Saccharomyces cerevisiae S288C: one gene and its partner. The protein of the gene in region 1 interacts with the protein of each later gene in a biochemical or structural test. Each region holds a gene or a part of one and is shown in the gene's direction. Other genes may lie near its edges.

Region 1 (7,328 bases):
TATGGTGGTAGACTTGCAGCTTTGGTAGCGTCCACTTCACAATATTTTGGAAATTTTAACTTCGTTTTAACAGTAAAGGACTCAGAAAATGGGATATCTTTGTTGTTTTCTTTTGATGAAGTGTAGGCTAATAAGTTATCATCAACTGTATTGGTGACAACTTCCTCTCTAATAGAAGGCCCACTAGTACATTTAGAGGCCACCTCAAATAGAGGCAAGCTTCTGTCCTTCTTTTTTCTCACTAAATATCTCATATGATAGGGATTGCAAGGATCTGAAGCCAATGGATCCAACTGGTCAAAATCATATTGATAGTCTTTACTCCTGTAGGAGATTTTTTCTCTACAACTAACACGAATTCTCTTGACACTAAGACTTTTTACTAGAGGTGCCACTTTAATTGTGATTGGAATTTCACCATTCAAGGGCACATACTTTTGGGCGAATGAAATTTCATAAGAAAGACAATTCTCCCAAACCTTGTTAATGTAAAGTGGCTTATTTGCTGTAGTGACAGAGATTTCTGGCGGAGTTCTCACCAAATTAAGCGGGTACTGTAAATTTATAGTGTCTTCAGAATCATGTTGCATCGCTAAACCACTAGAAGATGCGCCATTATTATCTGACCTTCCGTTAGAATTATTCCTTTTTAAGCGCCCCTTCGCACTTTTTAACCATGAGGAGGGAAATGCGATTTTTCCAGTAGAATTTTTGTCGTTATTGTAGGTTTCTCCTTCTATGGTGTCATCAATTTGAGAATATTCATAAGAATCAGAACAGGAATATGAACGCAGTTTTTGAGGAGAAGAGATAGAAGAAGAACGTGGCCGTGATGCAACCAACTGTGTATGTTCATCCTTCAATTTTGTCGCTAATCTTAAGCTGTAGGATACCCTCGCTGATGGGTAGTAAAGCGATTCAGGAATACGACTGGCAAGCACTATGGGGATAGTAAAGACATAAACACCAGCATTTAACTTGTTCGTAGAATTCGAGGCATTTAAATTGTTTAATATATTTTCCCTAAGAACTGCTTTATTCGAGAAAGAACGGCGTTTCCTCATCGATAATTTCTGGAGCACTTTCAATTTCCTGTTATTGGAATGATTTTCAACGATATCAAGAGGAGACTTTGCGCCTTGCGGAATGAAAAGATTAAAGTTGTCTGCATTTAAGGTCCAGTCCAAAGAACCTATATTATAGCATTCCTCGTTAACATTCTTGGTAGGGGGAAGACCATTGAACCACACCACTCTCACGTTAGAAGTGAGTTCTACTTTAATATCAGAAAGGGTAGTTGATTTATTCAGGGAAAATATCAATGCAAAGCTGAATGAAGGCATTTGGCTATTCCAAGCATTAGGAAGAGAACGCGAGTGAGAATTAGGATGTCTGTTTCTCGCGGGAGAATTGTTATTATTCATAGGGTTGTTATTGCCACTCGCAACAAAGGAATCCGCATCTGTTGTGTTATTGTTCGAGGCCGGAGAAGCACGATCAGAATTGCTTGTATCCATAGCATTACCTGTCCTTGCTGTATTAGAGGGGCTGGTTCGCTGTGTATGTAACGGAAATAGTGATAAATCATTGTTTTCATTCAAAGTGTCCATCGTAGGACATGAAGGGAGGAAATCACTTTCTGCAGTGTTAGTGGACCCGACAGGCTGTGTTCGCGCCTGATTTAAAGAACCATGAATCAGTGATAGATACTCTGTTTCATCACTTTTTGTAGTTGGCAAGAAAACTGATTCTGCACTTGTTGCAATGGAAATTTCCAGCACACTTTTCTTATTATATAACGGTGTTTGCTTGATGAAACCACGATCCGCTAAATAGTCCGATAGCACCCTATTAATAAACATAGTGCTATTACTAGCATGATGTGTTATGAATGACCTAACAATATCATTATTACTAGATATTTGTTTTGCCGCGACTGGATCTGACTCTCTCCTCAACCCGGTGTCTTGCCTTGTGTGTAACTGGTCTATGGTGGTATACGGAACAGAATTCCTGTGCCTATCCGGTTGGTAAGATCCCGTAATATTGTAAGCCTTAGTGCCAACATCTGAAGGAAAACTGTTCCCCCTACACATGGCAGTTGATGCGGTAGAATAGTTACGGTTCATCAAATTGGAATAATCGTCCATACTAGATGTTGGACTATTACCAGTTCCAAAAAAAGAAGAAAGGGCGTCCCTAACACTAGATGACCTCCTTCTACCACTAAATCCTGACGATTTTTGTGGCGAGAGGGAGGTAGAAATCATCTCTCTGTTACGGGCTAGCCTTTGCAATATATCACCCTCGTCGCCTGCAGAAACGTTCTGGACGACATCTCTCTTGTTGCCGTTGCTCGCAATTGCTATTGGGACAGTAGATTGCATGATTGACTTTGCTTACTAGTCTGACTGATTACCCTTGGAGAGCCATCATAATAAATAAAACAGAGAAACGACGATATATATAGTCCAAACCGTGACAACTATGCAGGGAACGGGAGACGGGATTCAATAAGCCGGGGGTCTTTTCCATGTGATACCGAGTAAGGCATAGCCATCATTTGGCAGATCTACAAAATAAAGAAGCCCAGGGTTTGGCCGTGCAGAATCGCTGCGCCAACCCCGGATTTTGCATTTCTTATTCCACTAGGGCTGGTCGTGGGGTACGTGGGGAGCGGTATCCCTTAAAATGAAAAAAAAGAAACTATACCACCCACGCATCCAAACGACCGGGCGAGCGGGTAATAGATGGTTCTATTCTTTAGCCGCCGAAGCTTTCTTCTCTATATACATGTAAATGTATATAATTCCGGAAGTGTGGTCCTGCTACGAACAACACAAACCGATTAATTGATAATGGAAAGAGGAATGAGGTTGGGACAAGTAATACCAACTGGGGCTACAGGAAGGTGGTGAAAGAGGGTATCACATATAAGAACAAACCGTTTATTCGATTATTTAAATCTATTTTAGGCCACGAAGGTAGAGAGGTTGCGAGTGAAAACAACTAACTTTCTTTACGATATTTCTCAATTGGAACTGACAGCGTTAAAGTCCATATTTTGCTACTGATTGCTTTTCTTTGGTGTTATCTACCTTAAGAGAAAAAAAATTCAAATGAAGATTACCCGACTCTGAGTTTTGACGTCCTTAGCTGTTTGTATTCACTGAATTTAGTGGGCTTGGCCATATGAGAATTACAACTAAATCATACTTTTTCGAGATTTTATACTGCTAATATTGGAGAAGAAATATTGACCATCTTGATTTAGCAACGAGAAAGACCTGAACACCATAATGGGCTCTTCGTTGAGAAGCTTTATCAAAGACGTTCGTGGTGCCAAAACACTGGCAGATGAAAGGGCAATTATAACGAAACAATCTGCTAAAATTAGGACAAAATTGAGAGATGACCATCTACCACATGAAAAAAGGCGAGTAAATATCCAGAAACTTCTGTATCTATACATTCTAGGGGAAAAGACACATTTCGGTCAGGTGGAGTCTATCAATTTAATTGCTTCTGACGATTTTGTCGATAAAAGATTAGGCTATCTGGCCGCAACTTTATTGTTGGACGAATCTGAAGATTTATTGACACTCTTAACGAACATGTTGAACAACGATTTGCATCATCCCAACAAATATGCAGTGTCACTTGCACTAACCTCATTAGGCTTTTTGAGCTCCCCTGAATTAGCCAGAGATTTATACCCAGACGTCGAAAATATCATCAAAAATTCAAGAGACCCTTTCCTCTTGAAAAAAGCGCTTCAATGTGCTGCCAAACTAATTTTCAAAGACGTTTCACTTTTAGAAATCTTCAACATCGAAGACATTACTAAGATATTGTCTAGTCATTCAATATGTACTCACGGTGTACTTTTAGGCGTTACGAAAATCATACAATCTATTTTGTTAATTGGATTGAACAGAAAAAAAGATGAGGATGAAGATGAAGACGGTATTGATTACAGCAATGACATCTTGTCTCCATTATCTTTACTTTTGCGTGATTTTTTCATTCGTTTGGAAAATATGAATTCTAAAAATATTGAACCTGGATATGATGTCCAAGGTATTTGTGACCCATTTCTGCAGTGTGAAATAATTTACACTTTAAAACTATACTTTCAAGTTGGTGAGCTCTTAAATTCGAACAATGTTTTGGACTACAAAGATAATTTCTGCGATTTATTGACTCGTATTGCGACGAATACGGATTCAACGAAAAACAGCGGACAGGCCATTCTTTATGAGACCGTGAAGACGATCTTTTCGTTGGATTTGAACCAGCCTCTACGTGTCCTTGGTATTAACATCTTGGCCAAGTTTCTTGCAGGAAAAGATAATAATACTAAATACGTTTCATTAAACACCTTATTAAAAGTTGTTCCCCAAGAGCCTACCGCAGTACAAAGGCATAGAAAATTCATTTCTCATTGTCTGCAGGATACCGATGTGTCGATCCGCATGAGAGCGTTAGAGTTGAGCTTCGCCATCTTGGACGATTCAAATTTAGTGGAATTGGTTAACGAATTGATGAAATTTTTGGCAAAACAGGATGAAGATTCAAAAGATCTCATAATATACACTATAGATCACTTAATTGACACTTTTGATACCCGCGTTGTCAAAGATGAAAGCTGGAAATTAGATGTTTTCTTTAATATCTTAAAATTAGTGGGATCGTTTATCAACTATGAAAAAATTAATGATATTCTAATCATAATAAATAATACGAGCCAGTTATCCGACAAATCTGAATTTTTACGGAAAATGCTGACAATTTCACTAAATGGAACATCAGCGGAGATTTCCGAGGAAAATATTGGTTGGCAGTTGGTTTTGATTTGGTGCATTGGCGAATATGGCGATTTAGTACTCAACGAGGGCAATAAAAATGGTGCAGACATAATCAATGAGTCATCTATTACTGATTACTTACTAACTTTGCAAGAACTCTACACAGCAACGAATCTGAAGATAATCAATTACATTTTAACAGCAGCATTAAAATTATCTGTGAGGTTCCATGACGCGAAAAATATTGAAAAACTAAGACAACTGATATTGAGCTACACGGATTCCACTGATTTATCACTGCAAATGAAAAGCAATCAATACGAGATATTTTTCAATCAGTCAATTTCTGTGAAGAAGATCATTTTAGAAACAATGCCTAAATTTGAAAAAATTACCGAGGAACAGGATAATGGAAAAGCTCTATCGAAAAACCTTATCTCCAACGAACCAGTTGATCTGCTGTCAGATTTATTGGGTGAGGATAGCAAGGCTGAAAGCAAGGCTTCTACTGGTGACAATGTGAAACCAATTGACATATTAGAAGAGATTTTTGGAGAGAAGAATGACATTGCTCAGGTGCCCAAAAATGCGAACAAGGAAGAATCAATCAATCATTCGTCGGCAGTGGAGGCAAACTCAGGTGTCACCTTACCATTGGATGCCAACAAGATATATGACAGTTCCTCACTGAATGTATATGCTTCCTTGCTCTCTGCAAACTCTGGATTAGCACATTTGGATTTATATTTTCAGGCAAAGTCTTTAATATCTGACTTAAAAACTTTCTGTGCCGTTCCTAAAGCTCAAAAGCTAACACTAGGCCAGTTATATCCATCTTCCACAATAAACGCCAGCCAAATTTGCAAGCAGTCATTGAAAATTTCTGGATCTGGGAAACTGAAGTTAAGAGTTAAGTTGGATTTTCATTTAAATGGCTCTTCATCTATCACCAATGAACAGTTCGATCACAAATTCGATGAAACTCTATAAAAAATGCCTTTAAAATTACAGAACATAACATGATTAATGACCTTGCGTTGGATGGTCTGTCGCGCATATCAAGAGACACGTCACGACACAACACGATGAATAGAAATGCTATCTTCTGGGACACCATAAACGACTCCAAAATATTTTATATGTTAAGTAGCGATATATAACAACTAATAACATATGTACTTATATGCTCTCAATAGAATAGATAACAAAGAGAACAAAAACGAGAGTTTGATTTGAGGATATAGGTGAGTTGCCTCTTAATGAACAGAAGCACCTGTAGCCTTAGAAGCCTCATTGACGGAAGCTCTAATTTCATCCTTTTCTGTCTTGCTAACATCTCTTAGGATATATCTGTCGGTCAATGGGGCTACGATCTTTTGATAGATCATTCTAGCGCCACCAGTTTGAGGCAAGGCAATGTAGATTAAGAAAACGGTTTTCAAAAACCAGTAGAATGGAATCAAATATAGAATTGCCTTGGACCAGAATTCAATGACACTCAAAAATGAAAAGACAATCCAGTAGGTCAAGAGTTGTGTGTCATCGGTGGACGTTGGTGTCTTCAAAGCAACCAACGATAAATATGCTGGCAACACAAACCCAGCAAAATTGGAAAGAATTTCACCTACACCTCCGACGTTAATAAAAATCAAAAGGAGATAAGCGAAACCTAAACCAGCAACTAAATAAGATTTAGGCAAATTAGTTTTATTTTCTAATTGCTGTAAAATTCTATTACCAGAGTACTTCTGTAGAAAAAAATGTAGCAAGGAGGGTGAAAATTAGCTTTCTTGTTAGTATAACTGCTTCGGTTACGTGTGTCGGGTCATTTGGCTGTTTGAACCATGATGACGATGGAACCAATAAAACCATCTTACATACGGTATCGAATTGTTTCATTTGAGAGTGAATACTAGATGCATATTCGGACATGATTGGAGTGCGGTTATGTCTTTGTTTATTTGTTTTCACTACCAATTGCAATTTTAGATTCTTTCTTTCGGAATAACAAGCTTCAAGGGAATGTTTTTTAGTTTTAAATCAAAAAAAATTTTGAAGGACATATTTTTTTTTTTTTCGTTCAACCTTGAAAGGGGTTACGCATACTCCCTTTGACGTGGACAAGAAGAGAGAATAACGGCGCTAAGAAAGCGAACCACGAAAATTCGAGAATGGTGATAAAAAAATAAAGGTTAGAATGCCACACAGCCTTCCAAAGAGTGAATGAAAATCTTTTGACTTGATGTAGTTTTTTTTTTTTCAGGAGGAAGTTTAATCCGGATTGTGATTAAATCAGTACTGCCCCTCCAGCAGCCATATAACCTACTTACTGCGTAACTAGTAATTGCGCTCACCCATCCTATCTATGCAACTCTTCTGAAGGTCTTCTCAAGCACTTAATTTTTGTTTTTCAGGAGATTGACAGGGTTTGTCGCTTGTCTTGGCACTCATTCCAGCACTGATTGGGCAGCTAGTTTGAAGAGTTGCACCAATAAATTAGAACCTCATTAAAGTCATGAA
Region 2 (4,853 bases), 570 kb from region 1:
AGACTGTTAAGGACAACGGGCCAATTAATCATGTCTACGCCATCGAAATTCCATTAGAAAAAATGCTCAGTGACGAATGTTTCACTGCATCAGATGCCGTACACAAAAAGCCAGTCAAAAGTTCTCTTAACAAAATCCCTGGAGGAAGTTTCTATAAATATCTGATAAATCACCCTAAAGTTAAGCCCCACTGGGACTCCTATGTGAACCATGATTTTGTTAGAAAAGTAGCAGACGGTTCCTTAGAGCCTAAGAAGTTCCAATTTTTTATCGAACAAGATTACCTGTACTTAGTCAATTATGCCAGGATTTCCTGCATCGCGGGTAGTAAATCCCCGTGTCTTGAAGACCTGGAGAAAGAGCTAGTTATTGTCGAATGCGTTCGTAATGGGCTTTGCCAACATGAAAGGAGATTAAGGGAGGAATTTGGAATTAAGGATCCCGACTACTTACAAAAGATTCAAAGAGGTCCTGCATTAAGGGCTTACTGTCGTTACTTTAATGATGTTTCCAGAAGAGGTAACTGGCAGGAGTTAGTTATAGCTCTTAATCCTTGCTTAATGGGCTATGTTCACGCTTTGACCAAGATCAAGGATGAAGTAACTGCAGCAGAAGGCTCCGTTTACCGTGAATGGTGTGAAACTTACTCATCGTCATGGTGCCACGAAGCTATGCTTGAAGGCGAAAAGCTGTTGAATCACATCTTGGAAACATACCCTCCAGAAAAACTTGATACACTGGTCACAATATATGCTGAAGTTTGTGAATTGGAAGCTAACTTCTGGACCGCCGCTCTAGAATATGAATGAATAGACACATCGATTTTTACAAAATATACAAAAAGTTATACGTAGAAATAATGAATTATGCAAAAATAGGTGTCAATAATTTAAGAATGTTCCTTCATTTTTATTAATATAGTAAAAATTGTTCGGCAGAAACCAAAATCTTCGTTCTGATTTTGGCGTTCTAGCGGCGCTACCATCCTAGTCACATACCTCAAGTATTCACCATAATTTCGTTGATAACTTATCCGGCAGAAACTTTCTCATCTTTCAGAAACCTAACACTGCAGTTGGACATTCTCGTAACATTAGCTGACAGAACTACGACAGACAGTTGCGACATAAAAAAAAAAGAATCACAACTGAACGCATCTTAGGGAAACAGTTAATGTTGGCACTGATGATTATTTGAATAGTGCGTCTTTATATATATATATTTTCTTCAAGGTATTCCTCCATCTGAAAATAATTGAGCATTCGACCCAATATAAACGTTTTCTATGCGCTAAAATTACTGCATACTATCAATAGGACTGCTATGGATCTATAATAGTTATGTAATAAAGATGAAGATATTTCAATGGTATAAAATACGCTCGATATACTATAGCCATCATTAGACGTAACTTCAACTAAGCGAGAAAGGGTATCTCTAATTATGATAATAGTCTTTGAAAGTCGTTGATAGCGATGTTAATTGAACGTATTGAAATATTGCTAGACGATGAAAAATTAAGAGTTAAACGGAAAGTGGGCTGAACAAAAAAAAGCATATAGAGAAACTAAGTCGTACAATTAAATATAGGAGTATTTTTGAAAATTGTAAATTACGAACTTGGAGGGACACAGAATGGCTTCTGCAGTGTATTTTTGCGATCATAATGGGAAACCACTCCTATCAAGAAGGTATAGAGATGATATTCCGCTTTCTGCAATTGACAAATTCCCTATATTACTCTCGGATTTAGAGGAACAATCAAATCTGATTCCTCCATGTTTGAACCACAATGGTCTGGAATATCTATTTATACAGCATAACGATCTATACGTGGTGGCAATTGTGACTTCTCTTAGTGCCAATGCGGCTGCCATTTTTACTTTTTTGCACAAATTAGTGGAGGTATTAAGTGACTACTTAAAAACCGTTGAAGAAGAATCTATTAGAGATAATTTTGTTATAATATATGAATTACTGGACGAAGTGATGGATTATGGTATACCACAGATCACAGAAACTAAGATGCTGAAACAGTACATAACACAAAAATCCTTCAAACTAGTTAAATCCGCCAAGAAGAAGAGGAATGCTACTAGACCACCCGTCGCACTAACAAATTCAGTCAGTTGGAGGCCAGAAGGCATCACTCACAAGAAAAATGAAGCCTTTCTGGATATCGTCGAATCTATTAATATGCTCATGACTCAAAAAGGTCAAGTTTTGAGATCAGAAATTATCGGCGATGTTAAGGTTAACTCAAAATTGTCTGGTATGCCTGATCTGAAATTAGGTATTAATGATAAAGGCATTTTCTCCAAATATTTGGATGATGATACAAATATCCCATCAGCGAGCGCGACAACATCCGATAATAACACAGAAACTGATAAAAAACCATCAATAACATCATCATCGGCCACAAACAAGAAGAAAGTTAATATTGAATTGGAAGATTTGAAATTTCATCAATGTGTCCGATTAAGCAAATTCGAGAATGAAAAAATTATAACGTTTATACCTCCTGATGGAAAGTTCGATTTAATGAACTACAGACTATCTACTACGATAAAACCGTTAATTTGGTGTGATGTAAACGTTCAAGTTCATTCGAATTCTAGAATTGAAATTCACTGTAAGGCCAAGGCCCAAATTAAAAGAAAATCTACTGCAACTAATGTAGAGATATTGATACCGGTCCCGGACGACGCGGATACACCGACTTTTAAATATTCACACGGGTCTCTAAAGTATGTCCCTGAAAAAAGTGCAATCTTATGGAAAATAAGAAGTTTTCCCGGTGGTAAAGAGTACTCAATGTCTGCCGAATTGGGACTGCCTTCAATATCAAATAACGAGGATGGCAATAGAACAATGCCAAAAAGTAACGCGGAAATCTTGAAGGGACCTGTCCAAATCAAATTTCAAATACCCTACTTTACTACTTCAGGTATTCAAGTACGTTATCTTAAAATTAACGAACCCAAATTGCAGTATAAGAGTTACCCATGGGTAAGATATATCACGCAAAGTGGTGATGATTATACAATAAGGCTGACGTAATGTCTGAAAAATATATAAAAAAAGCAATTTCTACGGTGCATGGACAAAGACACAGGGTACGTATGTCCTTATTCCTCTTTTTCTCCCCCCTCCCATTGACAATTATGATAATGACATAAAGTTGTTTATATATTTTTGTTTTTATATAGATGCTCATTCAGGGTTTGTTATATACATAGACATAAGAGAATAACTTTTTTTCTTTCTGTATTTCATTTTATTGTTTATAATGTTTTCCTCTACCAAGAAAATAGGGAGAAATGGAAGATAAAGAAACACTCTCCTCTATTCCTGTTGATATTCAGATTCAGGCTCGCTGTCGTTTGAGTTCGAGTCTATGCCTGATTCTCCGTTGTCATCGTCGTCAGAACCATCACTTGAAGTAGAGTTCTGTGCTTTTTCCTCGGCTTCCACTTTTAATTCATGCAAGATATCAAAACATTCTGCTAATAAAGCATTCAATATACCTTGGCCTTCAGGTATATTGCCATCAGAGTCATAGAATATACCTTCAGTTCTCAGGTTGTCCAATGAAGCCAATTTCATTTGATAAGGGTATAACTCTCTTTCATTATTCACACCTCCCATTCTTTTCAATTCTAATAGGCAACGACGAACTGTAGATAGTTGATTGTGAATTGGCTGCAACGCTTCAGATACGGGCTCTGAACTTTCCAACAGTTTATAAATTATGGCATAACATCTACGCAACAGGTATAAAAGTATTGATTGCCCCTTTGAGTCCTGAGATTTTGTTGGAAACTTACCATTGATTCTTTTGTTATCAATTTCGTTCAATTTTTTTTGGTAAGAAAATAAATCGGTTTCTCTCAAAGTCCATCTTCTTGTGATCATTAAATTTTCTAAGGTAGTCTTTATATCAATCAGCTGTTCATATATTGGCTGTAAATATGGATCTAAAGTCAACCCGCCATTTTTTTGGTGTGATAAATCGTTAACTAAATCATGGCAATCATCCAATAAACCATTAAGGACACTTTGGCCTTTTTCTGCCACCTGATGAGACTCCAAGGACTTGAATTTACCAGAATCGTCACGATTAGATTCTAATTCACTTAATTCGTTCTTCAAAACTGATAATTTCTCATGGACATACTCTTGAGATACTAAATGTTTGTCATCCGTTAAGCTTTCATTGTTCGTTTGCAAATCATTTTGTTCCTGCAATAAAGAGTTGGTATTAATATCAGATTTAGACATTGTTTTTTTAGCAGATGCAACTAATGACAATAAACCTCTTCTAATTCGGAATAACTTTTCCATTACAGTAGACAAAGACGGATCAATTTCCTCCAATTTGCCTTCCAATATATCATATTCGTCCTTGCAATGCTTTAATTTAGCACGTAGTAATAGGTCTTCCTCAATTTTATTCTTTTTCCTTTCGTTGTCGATTTCCCTTAATCGGTCATCATTTCCATCCTCATCGTACGCAGGACTAGAGTTTTTTTGTTCGACAATCTTGCTGATTTCTTCCAGCCTTTCCTTAATAGGACTCAAATCGTGATGGGTGAAGACGTTTGATTCATTTAAATGTTCCAAAAGACTCTCCACAGTAGATAACGATGCATAAGTCGCAGGTGCAGAATTTTTTAGCCCAACAGTTAAAAAACACAACGAGAGCAATTGAAAGACATCATCCAGTACGGAGTCAACTCTATTATGCAATTCAGTACTATGAATCAGGGTGGCGGCGCTCTTAGCGGGCGTCTCATGACTATTCTTCCTAATATCGTCCAACTCTCTGACTTTGGTCAAGACGTGTTGGT

What was found. Proteins that work in one complex are often made in the same cells at the same time.
Region 2: the proteins of APL4 (region 1) and APM1 form a complex in vitro, tested with the Saccharomyces cerevisiae proteins (one study listed by BioGRID).

Annotation. Positions count from the first base shown.
Region 1 is NC_001148.4:622,939-630,266, reverse strand, and holds APL4 (AP-1 complex subunit gamma), read left to right. Parts: upstream 1-3,299; coding exon 3,300-5,798; downstream 5,799-7,328. Other genes in the region: CSR2 (Csr2p), read right to left, coding at 1-2,387; YOP1 (Yop1p), read right to left, coding at 6,065-6,556, 6,690-6,740. UniProt on the Saccharomyces cerevisiae protein: Adaptins are components of the adapter complexes which link clathrin to receptors in coated vesicles. Clathrin-associated protein complexes are believed to interact with the cytoplasmic tails of membrane proteins, leading to their selection and concentration.
Region 2 is NC_001148.4:49,454-54,306, reverse strand, and holds APM1 (Apm1p), read left to right. Parts: upstream 1-1,635; coding exon 1,636-3,063; downstream 3,064-4,853. Other genes in the region: THI21 (bifunctional hydroxymethylpyrimidine kinase/phosphomethylpyrimidine kinase), read left to right, coding at 1-809; CUB1 (Cub1p), read right to left, coding at 3,349-4,853. UniProt on the Saccharomyces cerevisiae protein: Component of the adaptor complexes which link clathrin to receptors in coated vesicles. Clathrin-associated protein complexes are believed to interact with the cytoplasmic tails of membrane proteins, leading to their selection and concentration.